Linked DNA regions of Xenopus tropicalis. The protein of the gene in region 4 purifies or fractionates together with the protein of the main gene of each other region. This does not show direct contact. Links are inferred from orthologs where the notes say so. Each region holds a gene or a part of one and is shown on either strand. Other genes may lie near its edges. The genes, in order: ibtk, rpp38, rpp30, pop7, rpp40 and pop1.

Region 1 (3,500 bases), on a different chromosome or scaffold from region 4:
GTGTAGATGTGTGGTATTGGTCTATGTTTGTGTGCTGGGGTTTGCTTAGAGGGGTTGAACTTGATGGACCTTGGTCTTTTTTTCATCTGTGTAATGAATACATTAAAATGTGTCTTTCTTTTACCACGCCCTAGTGTATGACACAGTTAAAGAATATATTATGTTTGATGGCTTTTAACAATTCTATTGCATTCTTTCTTACAGTATATTCTTGTATATAATCTGTGTTTCTTTTTCTTTGTTCTGCACAGATATATTTGCAATCATGGAGATCTGAAAGGACAGAAGTTTGAGTGGAGGGTTGTCCCTCCCTCTACATTCTTCTCTATATTGCTGCTGGACTCATGTCTTGAACATAAGAACAAGATTATATTGCACAAACATTTTCTTATAAACTTGTGGAAGTGGGTTGTAAGGGATTGCTTTGTAATAGTAATATTTATTATTAATTGTAATGAAGTGCCAAATCTATTTGTATAGCACAAAAAAACCATAGGGATATCATGGTATGAGTTTTCTATGGTACTTGGGCTCTTTTTTGGAATTTGCTTCCACTGCAGTGACATTTGCAAAGAAGAAATGTCAGATTGAAAAGAAATGGAAAGAGTATGGCCTGAGTGCACTACACGTTGTCGCTCTCTCCAGCATGCCTTGGATGTTATTTCCGTGGTGACTAGAGGAAGTGAACAGCAGATAAAGATCTTCCTTTCTTCTTACTGCTGTAATGCTACTACACTAAAAGATACCTTTGGGCGGAATGTTACTCATATTGCAGCATCCTGTGGGAAGAAAAATGTACTTGATTGGTTAGTTACAGAAAAAGGTGTTGACTTGTCAGTCAAAGACAAAGAATCAGGATGGACAGCACTACACAGAAGCATTTTCTACGGACATATTGATTGTGCATTATCCCTCTTAAAGGTTAGTAGTGTAGATACATTGTATTTAAAGGGGAACTAATATAAGGTTTAGCTCACTTCTATAAGAAACTTTCTAAATATAATAATTAAATATTGTATACTATGTCTAAAGTAACTATTTACTATTCCTCAGTCTGTGTCTTTATTCTCTCCTCATGCAGTAGTTGGAGTCAGATTTTGATTGTCCGTAATGTCTAATAGATGCTTTAGAAGTGCTCCCTTTGCCGAAAGATGTATTAGGGATCACTCTTTGAAAATAACCAGAAATACTCTCTCTCTACATTTAGGATTTGTGCTGGAGTCAGTTGTTTTGTTCGATCTTGTTTGTGCAGGAGTTGGTTATCTGAGTAAGCTCTAACACATATGCTAGGAAAGGAACTGCCCTCCCCAAAGTATTGTAACCACCTGAAACTGGTCATGTCCTTGGGATTACCCATACTTCCTTAATTCACCCAAAAAAACCCCCAAATGAACATCTTAGTATAAGAAGTATCCTTGGGTCACCAGCATTTTTGAGGGCTTGTCCTAGTCTTAGTTTATATTTTGACTTGTTAGCTTGAGCTTAAATAAACAAGAAATCTGGATTTACACAGTACTTCAATTTTATAGGAGGTGAAGAGGAATATTATAACCAGACAGCTTTTGAAAAGTGGAGACTTACACCAGGCTGTATATAGAAATGAAAAAAAAAAAAATATGAAGTGCAAGTGAACATTTGAACATTTGTGAATATTTATTTCTAAAGTTTTTTTTACATTTTATCTTAAAGGGGTTATCCACCTTTTAGTATAACGTAGAAAGTAATATTCTGAGACAATTTGCAATTGGTTATTTTTTATTTGTAGTTTTTTAAAAAAAAAATCAGTTTTTTTGTTCAGCAGCTCTCCAGCTTGGCCTTTCAGCTGCTATTAGGTTACTAAGATCCAAACTACCTTAGCAACCAGGGTGTGGTTTAAATGAAAGACTGGATATAAATAGGAGAGGACCTGAATAGAAAAATAAGTAATATAAAGTAATAATAACAATTTAAACAGTAGCTTCACAAAACAATAGTTTTTTGGCTCAGTTGTCAATGACAACTAAGCTGCAAAGAGTTAGAAGAAGGCGGTAAACAATTCAAAAACTATGAAAAACAATTAAGATCAATTGAAATGTTGCTTAGAACTGGCCTTTCTATCAAATACTAAAAGTTAACTTAAAGGTGAACCACCCCTTTAATGTGAATTTATACATGTATATCAGAGAGTTACGTCTTGGTTACTTATATAAAAGGAAATTTGGCTTTAAGACACTCTTGTAAAATATTGATGATCTTGTATTGCAGTGAAGCCTTTTTTAGTATAGCGATTATAGTATCTCACTTTTACTTGTCTTTATTTCCATAGCATGGCAGTAACCTTTACATTCAAGATAAAGATGGATATACTCCGTTGGATGTGGTAATGAAAGACAGACCTCCCCACATTATTTTCAAAACTAGCGGTATGACATATTATCTCTCTAGTTTCTTTCCATAACTTCCAAGCTTAAAACCAGTTGCAAAACTGTAAGGAACTCCTTTAATATTGTTTATTTATTGATTTACTCAGTGCAACTTTCAATAGGCTGCTCAATGTAAACACCAGTATGCCATGAACATGTATAAAAAAAAATGATTATTAATTGCACACCGCACCTCTCACAGGTAACAATACTTGCTTTTTGAGTTTTCGATACCACATGAAACAATGATAGTGTAGTACTTTCCAGTACTCATTATATTACAAAAATGTCTAGTCTGATATTCACGTTCAACTGGGGCACCGAGAACATACACCAGAGTCATACTGGTGCAGCACACTTGCATTGAATTCCTCTCTCCTTTCTAGAATTGCAGATTCAGATTTATGAATTTCTTATAGGAAAATTGTCATAAACCAGTTTAAAGGAGAAGAAAAGTCATTTTGGCCTTTTACTGCCAATAGATGTGCCACATTAGTGCCACCTATAACAATATATTTATTATGCAGAAACCATTAACATACCTGAGTAAACAGCTTTAGAAGCTTTCTTAATATAGCAGCTGCCATTTTAAAGTGATACTAACAGCCAATTAAAAAAAAATTTTTACGCCCTCTGTTGTGTTTTAATTTGTATCAGCTTTAAATTCCTTATAAACTAAATCTGCAAAGTTTTTTCGCTTCATAATTATGGTAGCACAAATTACAGACCCACGGAGCAGCAATGTTTGTTCCCCTCTTCCGGGGTTTAATTTAAATGCCTCCCAAGTGAATAAATATGCCCAATAACAAACCTGCAATGCCCCTTCTGCTTTCTGCCGGTGTGTGACAAGCTTCAGCTCTGTTGGAGAGAGCGGGGAGAGCCCTTAGAAGCAGGCCCGCTATTTAAATTCTTCATGCGAAGAGCAGAGGGGGGGGGCAGCCCTTTGAAGCAGGCAGGCAATGGAAAGGTCAAGCCTGCCTGCTATCTAGTTCACGATGCGATGCGAGGATCGAGGGAGGGGGAGCTCGTTGAAGCAAACGGCAAGCTGAATCCTCACAGTTTATGATGTAGTCCTTTGGACAGATTGAGAAGCTACAG
Region 2 (4,069 bases), on a different chromosome or scaffold from region 4:
GAATTTTACTCTCTTCTTTTCTCTATCATCGGTCTCCAGCCTTAAGCTGGCCATACACGTGGCGATCTGACGATGTTTTGTGCGACCATCGGTCGCACGAAACATCGTCAGATTCGCCACACACAGTCAGGGCTGAAACAGCAGATAAGGAGGTAGAAACAATAGGATTTCTACCTCCTTCTGCCGATTCAGCCCTGATGGCAGATTTTGGTCAGGCGCCTTCTATGGCGCCCGATCAAAATTTTCTAACCTGGCCGATCGGCGAGTCGACCGATATCAGCAGCTTCCTGTGATATCGGTCGACTCGCCGACATGCCATACACGCACCGAATATCGTACGAAACGAGGTTTCGTACGCTAGTATCGGTGCGTGTATGGCCAGCTTTATTCTCAGAGAGCCTTTCTCTACTTGCTTTAATGCTCCGCCATCTTTTTTTATGTACCCTTCTCTCCGAACAACCATTGTCTCTGTTCTTTACAGAATTATTCTAAACTTGTATTCTCATTCTTATGCTGCTTTCCCAATTCTCCTTACTTTGCTTTCCCATTTACCTTCTGCTCCACCTTTCCTTATTGTCCCACCATCTCTTTGTTTACCATAAATCCTGAATTATTATTTCCACTTATCTTCACTGTATTTTCTCTGCACTTCTTTGTTAGTTTTTTAACCCCTGCATTGCCAGGATAGCCAGAGCCCAGGCCAACACACATGTAATACACAGATACAGCACAGACACATCTATTTCCCCATCCGCCCTGCTACTTCTCTTGCTGCTGTGTTTCCTTTCTTACCTATCTCTTTAAGCTAATATAATAATTGTATCCCACCTATTAGTTTCCCTTCATTTAACCCTCTCTCTCCCCTATTTCTATATTACCATTTTAATCTCCATCACGCCCATTCTTTTGTTTTCTCTTGTTTTGTACTTTATTTCATTCTGCTTTTCAGTACCTTCCTACTCTGCTATTTGTCCCCCTTCTCTGCTGCCGTCACACTTTCTTTCCCAGCATGTTTGCACTATCTGATTAGTTCTTTAGCCTTGGCATGTGTGTTATTCCCAACAGCAATGTGGTACAAAGGCAGAAGGAAGGGGCCGCACACAGACCGGCTGGGGAAACACATACAGGGAGTCAGTGTGGGACCTACCGCCCAATAGTCCGGCTCCTCAGCACATCCCGCACATCCCGCACCGCCAGATCGCTGTTTAAATATCCCGCAACACCTTAAAGTCTCCCGCACTTCCGCAAGCGGCTAATTCAGGCGTCACAAATCTCATCTTGCGAGACTGTGACGTCACGTCATTACGCAAAATGAGTGCGCCCACCCTCCGCCGGGAGTTGGACTCTCCGTTAACCCTAGTCACTAAGGTAGGCGAACCGTGGGACTGTGGGAAAGCTATCAGGAGGGGAGCCTGACACTATTATCTCTCTATATGGCGCTGATACCGCCTGGGCCTGGCTGCATCGGTGTGTCTGTGTACCCAGCATGGGGCTCTGTGGCACTTTCACTTCAGCTCCCGTTTGTCCTGCGGTTAGTCACTTTCTTTCTCCATGTGCCATACATATATAGTAGAGCCAATCAACTCTGAGTGAGTGAAAATATGTCCCCTCCAATGGGATGTGCATTTTATTGACAGAAACCTAATGGAAGCCGAGAGGAGGCCTGTCCAAGCGTTCTTGTGATCCTTTATCCAGAAACCTGTTACCCAGAAAGTTCCAAATTACGGAAAGGCCATATCCCATAGACTCCATTATAAGCAAATAATTCTATTTTTTTTAAATGATTCCCTTTTCTCTGTAATAATAAAACAGTACCTGTACTTGATCCCAACTAAGATATAATTACCCCTTATTGGGGGCAGAACAGCCCTATTGGGTTTATTTAATGGTTAAATGATTCCCTTTTCTCTGTAATAATAAAACAGTACCTGTACTTGATCCCAACTAAGATATAATTACCCCTTATTGGGGGCAGAACAGCCCTATTGGGTTTATTTAATGGTTAAATGATTCCCTTTTCTCTTTAATAGTTAAACAGTACCTGTACTTGATCCCAACTAAGATATAATTACCCCTTATTGGGGGCAGAACAGCCCTATTGGGTTTATTTAATGGTTAAATGATTTCCCTTTTCTCTGTAATAATAAAACAGTACCTGTACTTGCTCCCAACTAAGATATAATTACCCCTTATTGGGGGCAGAACAGCCCTATTGGGTTTATTTAATGGTTAAATGATTTCCCTTTTCTCTGTAATAATAAAACAGTACCTGTACTTGATCCCAACTAAGATATAATTACCCCTTATTGGGGACAGAACAGTCCTATTGGGTTTATTTAATGGTTAAATGATTCCCTTTTCTCTGTAATAGTTAAACAGTACCTGTACTTAATCCCAACTAGGATATAGTTAATCCTTATTGGATGAAGCCAGAGATTCCTGGCAATATTCAGCCAACTGAACCTGAACCAAATGTTTCCTGTCTTTTCACTGCGCAGGAAGCCGGGGGTCACAGAGTTGTTGGCTGCCTGTCTCATCTGAGTTCTGATTTTGTTTAGTATTGGACTGGGTTCTTGATATAAAACAATCTTTCTCTATTCTTTGTGTGGACACTGTTTTATATACAGTTCTGTTTGAAACCACTTGAATATAGAACCCTTTATCCAGAATGCTCGGGATCAAGGGTATTCCGGATAAGGGGTCTTTCCGTAATTTGGATCTCCATACCTTAAGGCTACTAAAAAATCAATAAAACATTAATTAAACCCAATAAGACTGTTTTGCATCCAATAAGGATTATTTACATCTTAGTTGGGATCAATTCCAAGGTACAGTTATATTACTACAGAGAAAAAGGAAATCAGTTTTAAAATTCTGTATTATTTGGAGAGCTTTCTGGATAGTGGGTTTCCGGATAAGAGATCCCATACCTGTATATAGGATAAACTATGCTACAGCACATGCAGGGTTCTGCTTGCCGTTAAAGGATCAATACACTAATTTTCTCCCCAGATCTTGCTTCAGGGACTGAAACATTGTGCCCGCTTCTACACAAAAAAATATAATGATTCCTGTATCGGTGGCCTTACTTCTATGTACTATTGTCACACGTGCATGTCAAGGTTCATTCCGCAACGCAGAACTACATATGTGATTGTGCTTGTGAAGGAATTTTGTGTATTTATGGATTTTGTCCTCTAAATTGTGTCAAGTGCATAACAAGCGATTTGCCATTAGAATTACTATAGCATACAGAAATTCTTGGAATGTTATCAGGTTTGGAGCATTATTCCAGACTTTCCTTATATATTTTAGGGGGGTCAGAGTATTTTTTTGTGTGTCTTACACCACAAAAAATGCACTAAATGTGTTGCATATTCAGTAGCTGAAGAGATCTCCTGTGCAATTTGTATGCACTAACTTCCTTTTGGGGTCTCTAAATGCCAGGTACTTTGGTAATCCTATGCACAATGGGCATCAAACTGTTCAGTGGCCCCTTGGCTTTCATATTTAGGGTATTGTTTATTGGTACCTAATGCCATGTGAGAGATATGATGCTTGAAAGTGGAAGATGAGGCGATTTCTTAGAATTTTCATAATTTTCTATAGAAACTGCAAATTTCAGAAAAGCATTGCTTGTATGGGTATGGCACCTGTTATCCAGAATGCTCGGGACCTGGGGTTTTCCGGATAAGGGTACTTTCCGTAATTCGGATCTCTTACCTTAAGTCTACTGAAAAAATTATTTAAACAGTAATTAAACCCAATAGGACTGTTTTGGCTCCAATAAGGATTAATTACATCTTAGTTGGGACCAAGTACAAGGTACTGTTTTATTATAATAAATGTGAATTATTTGATTAAAATGGAGTCTATGGGAGATGACCTTTCCGTAATTCGGAACTTTCTGGATAATGGGTTTCCGGATAAGGGGTCCAATACCTGTACAGCATTGTATTTAGAGCTCTAAATAATAATTGGCTATTTGGTAGCCCCTATGTGGATTGGCAGCCTATAGAAGGCTCTGTTTGGCTTTACACTGGGTTTTATGCAACCAAAACTTGCCTCC
Region 3 (2,658 bases), on a different chromosome or scaffold from region 4:
GTCATTCAGTAGGTATCTATCTAACTTGCTCATTCTCTTCTTAAACAAACTTACAGGAATAAGTGACAATTCATTTTATCTGTGTTAGGCAAGAGAAGCCTGATACTATTCAGTGTGGCTTCTCCAATGTTATTCTTCACTTACAGAAGCATTCTAAGATTTATTACACTTGCAACACCATATGCCTTCTGTACTTTTTTTTTTCTTAAATTATAGGCACTGGAAATGAGAGGCCCCTATGATATTGCAACACTGTATCCTTTTCCAGCATTTGTACTGTAACTTAATTGAATTAATTCTGTGGAACCTTTCTCATGGGAGTAGAGGTAAGTACATTCCTAACATTTGTTATATAGGGGCAAAAACATTATGATGGATTTGTGTATATAATTGGCTGGCTCAAGATAGAACATTTTTTTCAGTGAGTGAGTCTTACAGTTCTAAAGGGAAATAAGGACTGTAAATGTTTGACGTTTCAGGCAGAACGAGCCAGGACATCGCATTTTCAATCACATCTTAAAGGAACAGTAACACAAAAAAAGTGTTTTATAGTAATTACAATATAATGTATGCCATGCACTGGTAAAACAGATCTGTTTTCTTCAGAAACTTTACTATTAACTAATTATAAAAACAGGCTGCTGAATTATTAGAAAAATGGACTTAGGTACAGTTGCTGGGCCAGTCACTGGCCTTGTTACCATAAGTGGCTAAATATATATAGGGATAATAGGTAAAGTAAAATGCAAACTGAGGAATAAGAGATGGAGTAGAAATTGAATTGTCAGTATAAATTCAGTGGAGTACATAGAGGGGTAACCTGATGACAGAGGGGGAAGTGAGTTTTGTACAGATCTATAAGAAGGTGCATAGATAAAGCTAATGAAGCAGTTGGGAAATAGACTTAATGGGCAGGGCATTATCATTTAGGAATGAACAAAAAAAAACTATTCTGGTGTAAAAAAGAAGGGAAAGGGAATTTATGTCTATAAATAGAGGACGGTATTAGGAAAAGGAAAAAGGGCAGGCAGACATTTTACAAAGGTGAGATACATCATGCACTAATTGCCAATATTCTAACAAAATTAGTAAAATAATAGGTCAAATGTTTGCTGTTGAAAAGTATTTCTCATGTCATTCTTAGTTAATACCCTTAAATCACTGACAGAGGCTTGCTGTTTGGACTGACAGAAGGAGTTGCCAAGGCTGCCGTATCTACAAACTGCCGTTCTGCTGTTCTGCACGGAGGTAAGCCATGCCTTGGATATGTAATGTAAGAGCAGTGTTGCAGCTAGAGCTGTTTAAAATCACCAAACAAAGAAATATTTCCAAGTTTGGCCTCTTAAATGGCCCCCATTGTGTTTGGGCACTGCAGAAAGCAGTGTAAAGCACCTACAGCCCCTACATTCTTATAGGATTTGCCAGTTTTCTAAAAGATTGTGGTACAATCTATAAGTTGCATATACGAGTTTTAGGGCATCTTTAAGAGAATCCCTTTTTGGGCTTGTCTGTGGCTCCAAAATTAGCAGCCATAGGGACCTAAGATTGATTCTAGTAAGAGCACTATCAGCAAGGAGTATGTAGGTTCTTTCATGTTTTCATGGGTTTCCTACAGGTAGTCCAAAAACATACAGGCATATGTATTAGTGGGTCAGCAGATGGAATACTAAAGACTGTTCAGAGTCTCAGCATCTGTCAAGCATCGAATAACCAACCTGCAAACCAATATAATTTTTGTATCTTGTTCCCCATGCAGAAACAAGAAAGACTGCTTTTGGTGTCGTGTACACTGTGAAGAAGACATGTTTGGAAGAGGAAGAAGCGGAACCAGTTTGTAAAAAAGCCAAGAAATCTTAGTTACATAGATTTCTACTCATTTTTGCTTTTCCCTGATGCAGTGTTAATCCTAACAAGTGAAGTTGCAGAATTACTACCCAGCATTGCAGGATGGACCTATTTTTGCTTTTATTTATATCCAGGGCAGCTATTTTTGTAAACCAATAAATAGCAATGGAGAAAAGACTTTGCCTTTTGTTTAATGTTTATTGTTAAATAATAACAATAATAATAGATTGACTACAGAGTATTTTTTTTGACGCAGTTCTGCTGCAGAACATTTGAGATTTGTATTTCTATTAAAGAGCCATTATACAATGAATTAAAGATCTCTTTAGTCTGTCTCTAGAAACAGTTTCAAACCTCCATATTCTGTTTTACTCTGCTTTAAATATATTTATATGCCATTATGATGCAGTGTATACACGTCTTGCTAATTGTCATATTATCATACAGAGATGAGACAATGAAAGAGCAGTGCAGTTACACTGTACCCACCACTAGAGGGCAAAGAATGACCGCCAGATAAAATGACAATGATCATTATTGGTCTCTCCTAATTCTTACATATGTCACCTTTTAACATTTACACATTTAGTTAAAAACACTTTGTCAAAAGATGCCCAGTGATATGTAGGGCCTTGACCTGCATTTGCCAGTTAAGTAAAGTATAAGAACTCATTGTAAAATTTGAGATGCTGTACAGTGCTGTGAGCTTCATACCTACGTGCTATAAATAAAAGCACAGTCCGGGAGCTCCACATTTTAACTTGCTTTGTACTGTATCTCAATGGTTTCATAAGAATTCATGTTCATTATCCA
Region 4 (4,182 bases):
TCAGTTCACGGTAACCATTTGTGCTTTATAGAGCCTGTACGGGCTGACGCACCTATTCCCTAAGTAAGTGGAGGCGGAGCCTAAAGAAACATAACGGGAAACCCGGAGCAGTTGGGACCTCCCACTTTTCCCCAGTTGGGGGGCAGGCAGCAGATTTAACCCTTTACACACCATTAGAAGCTGGAATGCGCTATGGGCCCCTAGCAACAGAATGGGTTGCTATGGTGCAAATGCCGAGGGGGCTCAGTTGTCCTTATGAAGAGGTGTGGGGTCCATTTTCCATCCATTCCCTCAGCCCCTCCCCCTTTACTCCACCCCAGCCCCTCCCACCCCACTCCTTTACTCCCCCTCAGCCCCCCCCCCTTTTATTCCAGCTCAACCCAGCCCCCCCAACCCCATTCCTTTACTGCACCTCAGCCCCCTCTGTAATTCCTACTCAGGCCCTCCCCCTTTACTCCAGCCCCTCCCCCTTTACATTCCATGTAGAGAGAAACATCACATGACCAGAATGATTTAATGGATGACTGACACAAGAGGCAGGAATTACTGAGCGTCTCTCTGAGCATGTGCAGTGGCTGTGAGCCCCCGCCCCCTCTGTGTCAGGGGCACTGCACATGCTCAGTGTGCGTTGGTGCAGCTGATTGGCTGGTACAGAAGCCACAAGCTTGGGCGCAGGTCCGGTTGCTGGAATGGTAAGTAGGGACGTCCCAACATGGAGAGAATGTGGCGCCACAGGGGGATCGGCCAATCAGCGCTGCCCCTGGCACCATTGGCAATAAGGGCTGTTACCAAGGGAACATAAGTACCATTGCCCCGGGCAGCCCCTCACTCTCCCTGCGGCCGATATACGCGGATATGAATGGCAGAGTTATTCCGGTTCCGGGCTCCGGGTTCCATGTCCTCCCCACCCTCGGGTTCTAGATCGTCGGTGAGTTCCACGGTGGAGGTGCTGGGGGAGAGGAGCAGGGTGCCGGGGTGGGACAGCTGCAGCTGCAGCGCCAGGTTAATGGCTCGCCCAATGGCCAGGCCCAAACCGTGCACCCGAACTTCCCTCAAGCCCCCGGCACCGAGAAGCTGGCGGCACCGAGCCAACTGGGCCCGGAAATCAGTCTTTGTATTGACATAAATGTCACTTGGGCTCCGAGGCGGCCGGGGGGCGGGGCGACGTGTGTGAAGGCCCCGCCCAGGAAGTGATTTCTGTTCCGCCATCTCCTAAAGGGGAAGATAAGCAGTTATTTACCATCCAGAACCAGCTGTGCGGCCCAACAGTCTCCTTCCCACTAACAGAACCGGCCCAACAGTCTCCTTCCCGCTAACAGAACCGGCCCAACAGTCTCCTTCCCGCTAACAGAACCGGCCCAACAGTCTCCTTCCCGCTAACAGAACCGGCCCAACAGTCTCCTTCCCGCTAACAGAACGGCCAACAGTCTCCTTCCCGCTAACAGAAACCGGCCCAACAGTCTGCCTTCCCGCTAACAGAAAACCAGTCTCCTTCCCAAACAGAACCGGCCCAACAGTCTCCTTCCCGCTAACAGAACCGGCCCAACAGTCTCCTTCCCGCTAACAGAACCGGCCAACAGTCCTCCTTCCGCTAACAGAACCGCCCAACAGTCCTCCTTCCCGCTAACAGAACGCGGCCCAACAGTCTCCTTCCCGCTAACAGAACCGGCCCAACAGTCTCCTTCCCGCTAACAGAACCGGCCCAACAGTCTCCTTCCCGCTAACAGAACCGGCCCAACAGTCTCCTTCCCGCTAACAGAACCGGCCCAACAGTCTCCTTCCCGCTAATAGAACCGGGTAAGGGGGTAGGGGGGCCCGGGGTAGGGGTAGGGGGGCCCGGTAAGGGTAGGGGGCCCGGTAAGGGGTAGGGGGGGCCCGGGGAGGGGGTAGGGGGGGCCCGGGGGAGGGGTAGGGGGGCCCGGGGGAGGGGGTAGGGGGGCCCGGTAAGGGGTAGGGGGGGCCGGGGGAGGGCAAGGGGGGGCCCGGGGAGGGCCCGGGTAGGGGGGGCCGGGTAAGGGGCAGGGGGGGCCCGGGTTAAGGGGGCAGGGGGGTAGGGGGGGCCGGGGGAGGGCAGGGGCGGGGCCCGGGGGAGGGGTAGAGGGGCCGGGGGGAGGGGGAGGGGGGGCCCGGGGGAGGGGGGCGCCGGGTAAGGGGCAGGGGGGGCCCCGGGGAGGGCAGGGGGGGCCCCGGGGAGGGGTAGGGGGCCCGGGTAAGGGGCAGGGGGGGCCCGGGGGAGGGGCAGGGGGGGCCCCGGGGGGAGGGGTAGGGGGCCTGGGGGAGGGGTAGGGGGGGCCGGGGGAGGGGGAGGGGTAGGGGGGCCCGGGGGAGGGGTAGGGGGGCCTGGGGGAGGGGTAGGGGGGCCCGGGGTAAGGGGCAGGGGGGGCCCGGGTAAGGGGCAGGGGGGCCCGGGTGAGGGGCAGGGGGGCCCGGGGGGAGGGGTAGGGGGGCATGGGGGAGGGGTAGGGGGGCCCGGGTAAGGGGCAGGGGGGCCCGGGGGAGGGGTAGGGGGCCTGGGGGAGGGGTAGGGGGGGCCCGGGTAAGGGGGGTAGGGGGGGGAGGGCAGGGGGGAGGGCAGGGGGGCAGGGGGGGGAGGGGGCCCGGTGGGAGGGGGAGGGGGGCCGGGGGAGGGGAGGGGGGGCCCGGGTAAGGGGTAGGGGGGGCCCGGGTAAGGGGTAGGGGGGGCCCGGGGGAGGGCCCGGGGGGGGGGGGCCCGGGGGAGGGGATGAGGAGTCGGACACACTAGGGAAGGAGAGACCCGTTACCCATCATACCTCACTTCAGCTCTCCCTACACAATGACAGACGGATCGCCGCTTAGGACATGTTTTTTTAAGGAGAGCCGCTTCTGACGCAATAAAGAGAGGCCCCTTAGTACCGAGTAATAACTGCGCGCCAGAGGGAGGCGCTTCCCCACACGCATGCGCAGAGCTGTGCGGAGACACTCGGGCGCCATGTTTGCTGCTGGAGATATCGGAAAGCTGTGGCCTCTCACTTCCGGTTTCCTGCTAATGGGCCCTGAGTATGAAATGGGGGCGGCGCTTCTGTTGTGCCTTCTGCCCCTTATATACCCCCATATATATATATATACCCAGTGGGGTTAGGGAAGGCCCCCGTGTCCCAAGGAGAGAAGGCCCCGGTACCAGCCCAGTGGGTTCCACATTACAGAGTTTATTGTATGGTCCCTGTATATATAGGTAGTGGCCGGGAGTCCCAAGATGGATGCCCTTTACTGGAACAGATCCCTACAGGCAGCGGTGGCTCAGGGGTTAATCCTATGCCTGGGGTACTAACCCTTACGTTCCCCTATGGTGGGGCGGCAGCCGCTATTATATACCCTGCTGCCATTACTTATCCTCACTGGGGCCAATGGCCCCCTAGCCCATACCTCCCAACATTTGAAAAATGAAAAGAGGGACAAAAAGTTTTGGCGCGCGCAGCACTGCAATTTTTGACCACACCCACTTTTGTGGCCACACCCCAATTACCACACCCCATTTTTAAAAAAAATACTCCTTTTATATAGATGAAATGGCGGGATCAGACGCAAATGTGCTATACCCTCATACTGTACTGCCTAAGGGAAACAATATAGCAACTCCTACATATAAATACAAATATAGAGAGAAGGCAGTCAGTTATATGTGAGTTATAACTATGTACCAGTTTTGCCCCCCATACACAGGTGCCCCCCATACACAGGTGCCCCCCATACACAGGAGCCCTCATACACAGTACCCCCATACACTGTACCCCCATACACAGGTGACCCCCATACACAGTACCCCCATACACAGGTGCCCCCATACACAGTACCCCCATACACAAGTGCCCCCCATACACAGGTGCCCCCCATACACAGATGCCCCCCATACACAGTACCCCCATACACAGGTGCCCCCCATACACAGGAGCCCCCATACACAGTACCCCCATACACTGTACCCCCATACACAGGTGACCCCCATAGACAGGAGCCCCCCATGCACAGTACCCCCATACACAGTAGCCCCCTATACACAGTAGCCCCCCATACACAGTAGCCCCCATACACAGTACCCCCATACACAGTACCCCCATACACAGTAGCCCCCCCATACACAGTACCCTCATACACAGGTGCCCCCATACACAGTACCCCCATACACAGTAGCCCCCCCATACACAGTACCCCCATACACAGGTG
Region 5 (3,500 bases), on a different chromosome or scaffold from region 4:
TGGGTCTTCAAGGCAAACCATCCCTTTATTCTGGTAAAAACCCTCTGCGATACAGTAAGTATTTTATTCTTATCTTTATAGTTTTTCTGTTACTGTTTTTTAAGTAATTGTAAAATACATATTAGTGCATGTCAGCACATATGTGTTTTTCTGGCAATTTGTTGCAGTAGATAGGGAAAATATACGACTGCCCTCATTATTAAGTTTTATTCTTAATCGTGCTTAAAGGACAAGGAAATGTGAATTCCCTGGGGTGCTGATATAGTATGCCATTCATCTTAAAGGAGAAGGAAAGGCTAGTAAGAGTTAATCTCAACCCCCATAAGTGCTGTTCTGTGCCATGCACAGCAAATTAAATTATATTCTGCCTTCAAGGTGGCACCGTTGATACTTTTTCTCATGTCCAGCTGATATCATGGAGCACATTAGAATGGTTTCATAGGCTGGAGCTGTGTATGAAGACAACATATTGTCAATTGCATGACATGAAGCTTGCCAAAATCTTGTAGTATCTTTTAGCTAGACTTTTGTCCTTAGGACTTGTTATCCCGACTTCATGATATTCTAAGCGCCTCTCTATTGGAGACCGAAAGCATTGTTTATTACTGTGCAAGGGGGGGGGACTGGTTTTGTGCTTTTCAGCAACACCCCTATAAGTGCTATTCTGTGGCATGCACACCGGCAGACGGCAGGGCGGGGATCAGAGCGGGGGGAGGGGGGGTTTGTGTGAGCTGGCAGGCGGCAGATGCAGGAATCGGAACGGGGGGAGGGCGTTTGTGAGCCGGTAGCTGAGGCGATCGTAGCGGGGTGGGGTCTGGGGGTTTGTGAGCCGGTAGGTGCGGGGATCTCAGCGGGGGGGGTGGAATGGCCCATACAGACATGCTGGACAAGATGGCGGCGCCGTTCACTGAAACAACTATGTAGTTTCTAGTATGTGTATCTCTGTAAATCTTTTATTAGGCAAGCCAGAAATATAGCGTTTTTACACAGCAATAGTAGTACTATTTAATAGTGTGCTTAATAGATTTTGACTTTCCTTGTCCTTTAAGATGTGCTTGTTTGGCAAGGTTGCCAATTGAGTGGATCTTTGCCTGATTTGGCCACCTACATTTTGAGCCAATCTGATTGTTTGGCCTTGTTGGCAACACTTAGATCATAACGGGCACCTTTAGAGGTGATGTGTTTTTGCAGCTGTAAGAAAAAGTCATGTTGAGAAAATCTAAATAAGCTGTTAAATATATAAACAGCTATAAGAAAAGGATTAAAATTAAAAACTTCCACTATAGTTTTGGTGTTTTTTTTTCATAATAGCAATGATTCCTTTTTAAGGACAGTGTCAGAGAGCATATATTTCTTTAAAAAGATAACTGCATATTCAAAACAAATTTTTTTTTTACAGTTATTAAAATTGACCTAACTGAAGAAGGTCTAGCTCCTGGTGGCAAGAAATTTCAGCGTCTAAACTGGGCATTTACTGAAAAGAAACCTTTAAAATGTGACTTTCTCCTAGCTTGGGATAACACAGGTAGTTTTGATGAATCTTACAATGTACACCCTTTATTTACAGTACATTATTTTGGTTTACTTACAGACACAGACCTTAGCTCCTGAATGAGTTAATGGTGTAGTGCAATGAAAATGACTTACAGTACACTCAAAAAAATTCTCGCTGGAAATGGTGTTGCATTTCATATTAAAACTTGGCACATGCATGTTAGATTTGAGATTTCTTAATACTTAAAGGGGATGTCCACCCAAAAAATCGAGTTGGTATGAGCTTACTCAGAGTGGTCCTTCCAAGCGTTTTTGTAGTTTACATTAATTTTCTGTCTTTGGTAGTTTCTGAGATATAAGCAGGTTTAGACTGCTATTAGCAGGCTATGCACTCCCTCCATTTTGTTAACCCCTTGGGTTGCTGACTGCTATTAGCAATTATAATGCAGATATAGCAGAAGCTCCTGAAAACAGAAAATGAATCTTGGCGAAGCACAGAGAAAGTTTACATAATTTTTCATGGTTTTAAAGTTGTCTGTAAATATAACTTGCTATTGAAAGCAGCTTTTTTTTTTTAAAAAAACTGGGTTTTCTGGGTCTAAAACAGGAGTCGGTTCTCCTCTTGGTTATTTAATCTGATGGCTTGCAATATTGGTTTAGGATTCAGATCCAGGAGTGCAGAGAATGCTTTCAATTGAAATTGCATTTACAAATAACTTTTAAACCACTGAAATATTTTTGGCTAAGTTGAAAAATTGCATACATAGATACATAGGGTTGAAAAAGTATAACCTTTTCAAGCAAACCCAGCACACACAACCTATACCGACCCACATAAAAAAAACCCTATATACCAACATGAATGCCAACTGTAGATTTCAGTATCACAATAGCCTTGGATACTATGCTTGTTTAAGAACTTATCCAGGCCCCTCTTAAAGGCATTAACAGAATCTGCCATTACTACATCTCTAGGAAGGGCATTCCACAACCTCACTGCCCTCACCGTGAAAAAACGCATACGCTGCTTCAAATGGATGTAACAATCCTCTAATCTAAAGGAGTGGCATCTGGTGCGCTGGTCGGTTTTATGTGAAAAAAGCACATCCCCTATCTGCCTATAATCCCCTCTAATGTACATGCAAAGAATAATCATGTCCCCTCACAAGCGCCTTTTTTCCAGAGAAGAAAACCCCAACCTCGACAGTCTAACCTTTTATGTTAAATCTTCCATCCCCTTTACCAGTTTAGTTGCACGTCTCTGCACTCTCTCCAGCTCATTAATATCCTTCTTAAGGACTGGAGCCCAAAACTGCACTGCATACTCAAGGTGAGGCCTTACCAGGGACCTAAAAAGAGGCAAAATTAGGTTTTAAGGAATGTACAGTAAATGGAATTTATCTTTCAGAGTATTTATATTCCGCTTACACAGTGTTTCTTTTTATTTATATATTTCAATTTGTGATGTTTCTGCTCCACATCAGTGTGATCCTCTCTATGTTTTGTATTCAGGAGCACCTTCCATATTGTCATACTTTTGTAAATACACTGTGAAAGAGTGTAACTTTAAAATAACTTCAAGGATATCAAGAGATTTGCCTTGCCCTGTGTTGAAGAGTGGAGACCTGCATGGGAAACCTGAAGAATCTTGTAGTTCTGAAGAGCTTTTTGACTGGCTCGGTGCTGTGAGCAATAGCATTGACTGGTGGGTAATACTGTAACAATTATTAAGAGACACTACATACAGACATGTTGCTCCTGTAGCTTTTTATGCCCCCATCTTCATTTATATAGATGCCTCCTTATACTTTTTTATATTGCAATGAGTGCTGTGATGTGGTGCGTCATGTAAGGTTAAAAGAACATAAAAAAAAAATAAAAGCTTCTACTTGTATTGGTTCACTTCGGGATATTGTAATCCAGTCTTTATCCTAATACTTAAACCATGTCAAGGAAATCATGTACTGGATCATGAACTATGCAAAAAAAATCTTTATTTTTAATAA
Region 6 (2,923 bases), on a different chromosome or scaffold from region 4:
AGAGGCACAGGAGGACGTGAGAATGGAACCTGGTTCCCAAGGCACCATGGGAAATGAGCTGGATATGGAAAAAGCAGGTGGAGCCGGTGTGTGTGTGTTGAGGTAGGCTGGCTTATTTACTTACACATCCACATTATGCAAATAAATACCTGTCTGTGGGGAATTGCCCTGCAAAGGCAAACAGTATAGCACCTCCCGCAGCCCTGTAAATGCAAATGCACCACCTCTTACAATTTTAGTTTGCTTTTTAATGAATAACTGCTCTGAGTATTGGCCTGAGATATAAGCCAGGGGTCTGTTCTTATGCCTTTATCTATTTTCATTAAATGCCAGGAACAAAAGAATTCTGAAGGAGCTTTGTACACTGTGTAGTCTGTGTAATCAGAGAGGCCCAAGATCCAAGCAAATTCCCAGTCCTGCTCCACACGGACCATCCGACATGCTACTGCAGGTTCTGCACACTTTCCCTCGCTCCCTGGTATGGGTCAGGCTGACCATGCTGACAAAGGGTACCCCAGAACTCCATGCCATGATCTGTATACCTTCTGAGCAGGACTTGGTGCAACTTGCTACTGACAAATCATTCGCTGGCCCTCAGGAGCCTAAGCATGGAGATCCCATCAAGAAGAAAGTACTGAAACATCAAAAGGAGACAAAGAAGAAGAAAGCAAAAGCTAAAATGGAGAAGGAAGCACCACAACAAAAGGAAGAGATGTCCAGGGATGATGACAGTGATCAGCTTACCCTCGGCTTGTGGCCTAATCCTCTACCTCCGGTCATCAGTCACTGCTGTAGAACCCTGCTCGGATTCGTCACCCATGGGGACTTTTCTATGGCCGCCGGCTGTGGGGAGTCATTAGGGTTTGTCAGCTTAACTGGCCTTATAGACATGCTGTCTGGTCATCCTGTGAACAGGACTGGGTTTGTGCTGGTTAGAAACCCGTCCTCTTTGCAGTACAGGTTTGCCAAAATAATGGTTGCTGCATAGACACAACTGTAACTCAATCCTCTGCATGTCTGCTCCAGATACAGCGCCTGTGACAAACTCATTTACTATAGTTACTGAGCAGTAATAAAAGGTTTCAGTTATATGGGTTGCTCAACTCAATAGCTGCATGAAAGACCGACTGGAAAATGAATCCAAAGACAAGTAATACCTCATAGAAAGGGGAGTTTCCAGCTCCTCCTTGTATTCAGAATTCAATTCAGCAGTAGGGATTTGTGTGCATTGTAACATAGACCCAGATCGCTCAGGTGGGACCAGCATGCACATAATAGTTCCAGTTTAGCTTGGATATAATGTGTTGTACACCCAGGATGGGCGTGGGGGGTGGGGGGAGGGGGAGGAGTGAATTGTGGAAGCATTACAGAATACTAACACCTATAGGTCAAGTGGGTCTGCATGAAGTTAGTCACCTATACAAGACCAATAGAGGGTGCGGCCCTGCCCCATACATTTAAAAGGTGACATCAACTCTATGTGTCACATAATGTACATGAATTTTATACATTGCGAATATCAAGAATGTGTAACTGGAGCTGTTCAACCTGGACTCTCCTTCAGTAGTTCTACTGCTCAGTTTGGCATGATTTATAGACGTGAGCAGAGAAGTGACACTCCTTGCTTCACTAAATCAAGCTTTTGATGTTATTTCCTGCCCTTGCCCAGGTTAAACAGCAGGGGGCTGTATTTGTGTATATCATAGCCCAGTTAATGCACTGGGGGATCAATATCTATGTCCTGTCAAGAGTCCCTTGACTGCCTTTCTGGATGAATTTGCCTGCATGTGGGCTCATGGGCCCATATGCTACTGTAGGGTCTCTAAGTAACATAAGGAAGCGCTTATGTGTGACAGCTTCCCTTGGCCTTGTCCCTTCATCTCCACCAAAGCTATAGATGAGAGTGCTGAAATGAGAGTGAGGAGTTGGCAGTGGGCCCATCATTTCATTATCCTGTGCCCTTCTCTGCATCCTCCACTCCTTCCTTGCCATTTAGCAGCCTTTGTGATTAATGGGTCTCACATCTCAGCATAAAGAATAGAATTCAGTATTCTTTATTGTGAACTGAGCAACATTAATAGGCTTTTTTTTTTTCTTTTTTAGCAAAGGACGCCTGTACAATGTGCGCTGTTCTTTATATTTGGAGAAGGATACTCCTGCTGCTTTATTTAACCATTATGTAGCCTTTCCTTTGTGCATAAGTTATGTATATTTATTTTCTGTTTTTCCTTAATAAAAGCAAATGTTTATGTTGCAATGCATTAAGGAGTTCAGATGTATGAAAAATGCCTTAAGGAGTCCCGGACGCAGGGTGCTAGGCTGGGCACAGCCATTTGCACTGTACACAAAGAAATAAAGAACTGCACAACAAAATGTGGATTTTGGCATCTGGTTACTTCAAATAAATGAACAGGTTGACTTCCTTTCCTCCTTTTATTTAATATTCATTTATTGAACGAACATTGGTAGTTGCTTAGAACAACATTGTCTTTAATTATGCAAAATGTTATATTTGGCATTAAATGATAACATGGGATTAGGGTCAGGCAAGATGGACATTTGTTATGAGTTTCCAGCCTTTAGAAGGGCAACCTCTTTGGTAAAATCATAAATAGATTATATGATACTGTGTGATGATTGTAAGCACCCCCGTCCCCTGCTTCTCTTGCATTGTGTATTGGTTATACATTGGGAAGTTCAAAGCATTAAACACAATCAGCCACAAGATGGCGATATTGAAACACAGTCTTTGCTCTGCATTCTCCCTTGCAGTAATTTAATATCAATTTATCCCTTTATTCCAGTCTATAGGCAGTCATTCCAAACATGTTGATAGGAGAGCAATGAGAAATGCTGATGTTGGTGAAACTATTTTCCTTGTGATTGTAGGGTTAACTCCTTGGCTGCCCAAAATGTTAAACTT

The links.
Region 1: the proteins of pop7 (region 4) and ibtk purify together in Homo sapiens (affinity purification with mass spectrometry; 3 studies listed by BioGRID and IntAct, with this or other methods). This does not show direct contact. The link is inferred for Xenopus tropicalis from reciprocal best matches to the Homo sapiens genes POP7 and IBTK.
Region 2: the proteins of pop7 (region 4) and rpp38 purify together in Homo sapiens (co-immunoprecipitation; 3 studies listed by BioGRID and IntAct, with this or other methods). This does not show direct contact. The link is inferred for Xenopus tropicalis from reciprocal best matches to the Homo sapiens genes POP7 and RPP38.
Region 3: the proteins of pop7 (region 4) and rpp30 purify together in Homo sapiens (co-immunoprecipitation; 4 studies listed by BioGRID and IntAct, counting the BioPlex papers as one, with this or other methods). This does not show direct contact. The link is inferred for Xenopus tropicalis from reciprocal best matches to the Homo sapiens genes POP7 and RPP30.
Region 5: the proteins of pop7 (region 4) and rpp40 purify together in Homo sapiens (co-immunoprecipitation; 4 studies listed by BioGRID and IntAct, with this or other methods). This does not show direct contact. The link is inferred for Xenopus tropicalis from reciprocal best matches to the Homo sapiens genes POP7 and RPP40.
Region 6: the proteins of pop7 (region 4) and pop1 purify together in Homo sapiens (affinity purification with mass spectrometry; 3 studies listed by BioGRID and IntAct, with this or other methods). This does not show direct contact. The link is inferred for Xenopus tropicalis from reciprocal best matches to the Homo sapiens genes POP7 and POP1.

The regions. Positions count from the first base shown.
Region 1 is NC_030681.2:88,844,923-88,848,422, forward strand, and holds part of ibtk (inhibitor of Bruton tyrosine kinase), read left to right. Parts: intron 1-251; 5' UTR 252-597; coding exon 598-921; intron 922-2,305; coding exon 2,306-2,402; intron 2,403-3,500. UniProt on the Homo sapiens protein: Acts as an inhibitor of BTK tyrosine kinase activity, thereby playing a role in B-cell development. Down-regulates BTK kinase activity, leading to interference with BTK-mediated calcium mobilization and NF-kappa-B-driven transcription.
Region 2 is NC_030682.2:31,854,856-31,858,924, reverse strand, and holds the start of rpp38 (ribonuclease P protein subunit p38), read left to right. Parts: upstream 1-1,269; 5' UTR 1,270-1,368; intron 1,369-1,436; exon of another isoform or gene 1,437-1,531; intron 1,532-4,069. UniProt on the Homo sapiens protein: Component of ribonuclease P, a ribonucleoprotein complex that generates mature tRNA molecules by cleaving their 5'-ends. Also a component of the MRP ribonuclease complex, which cleaves pre-rRNA sequences.
Region 3 is NC_030683.2:36,834,767-36,837,424, forward strand, and holds the end of rpp30 (ribonuclease P protein subunit p30), read left to right. Parts: intron 1-216; coding exon 217-254; coding exon of another isoform or gene 255-282; exon of another isoform or gene 283-326; intron 327-1,168; coding exon 1,169-1,248; intron 1,249-1,756; coding exon 1,757-1,857; 3' UTR 1,858-2,158; downstream 2,159-2,658. UniProt on the Homo sapiens protein: Component of ribonuclease P, a ribonucleoprotein complex that generates mature tRNA molecules by cleaving their 5'-ends. Also a component of the MRP ribonuclease complex, which cleaves pre-rRNA sequences.
Region 4 is NC_030679.2:152,167,106-152,171,287, reverse strand, and holds pop7 (uncharacterized protein LOC100037866), read right to left. Parts: upstream 2,789-4,182; 5' UTR 2,772-2,788; intron 1,213-2,771; 5' UTR 1,210-1,212; coding exon 826-1,209; 3' UTR 501-825; downstream 1-500. UniProt on the Homo sapiens protein: Component of ribonuclease P, a ribonucleoprotein complex that generates mature tRNA molecules by cleaving their 5'-ends. Also a component of the MRP ribonuclease complex, which cleaves pre-rRNA sequences.
Region 5 is NC_030682.2:88,074,105-88,077,604, reverse strand, and holds part of rpp40 (ribonuclease P protein subunit p40), read left to right. Parts: coding exon 1-54; intron 55-1,399; coding exon 1,400-1,525; intron 1,526-3,006; coding exon 3,007-3,199; intron 3,200-3,500. UniProt on the Homo sapiens protein: Component of ribonuclease P, a ribonucleoprotein complex that generates mature tRNA molecules by cleaving their 5'-ends. Also a component of the MRP ribonuclease complex, which cleaves pre-rRNA sequences.
Region 6 is NC_030682.2:129,314,851-129,317,773, reverse strand, and holds the end of pop1 (ribonucleases P/MRP protein subunit POP1), read left to right. Parts: coding exon 1-102; intron 103-333; coding exon 334-988; 3' UTR 989-1,308; intron 1,309-1,391; 3' UTR 1,392-2,103; coding exon of another isoform or gene 2,104-2,233; 3' UTR 2,234-2,423; downstream 2,424-2,923. UniProt on the Homo sapiens protein: Component of ribonuclease P, a ribonucleoprotein complex that generates mature tRNA molecules by cleaving their 5'-ends. Also a component of the MRP ribonuclease complex, which cleaves pre-rRNA sequences.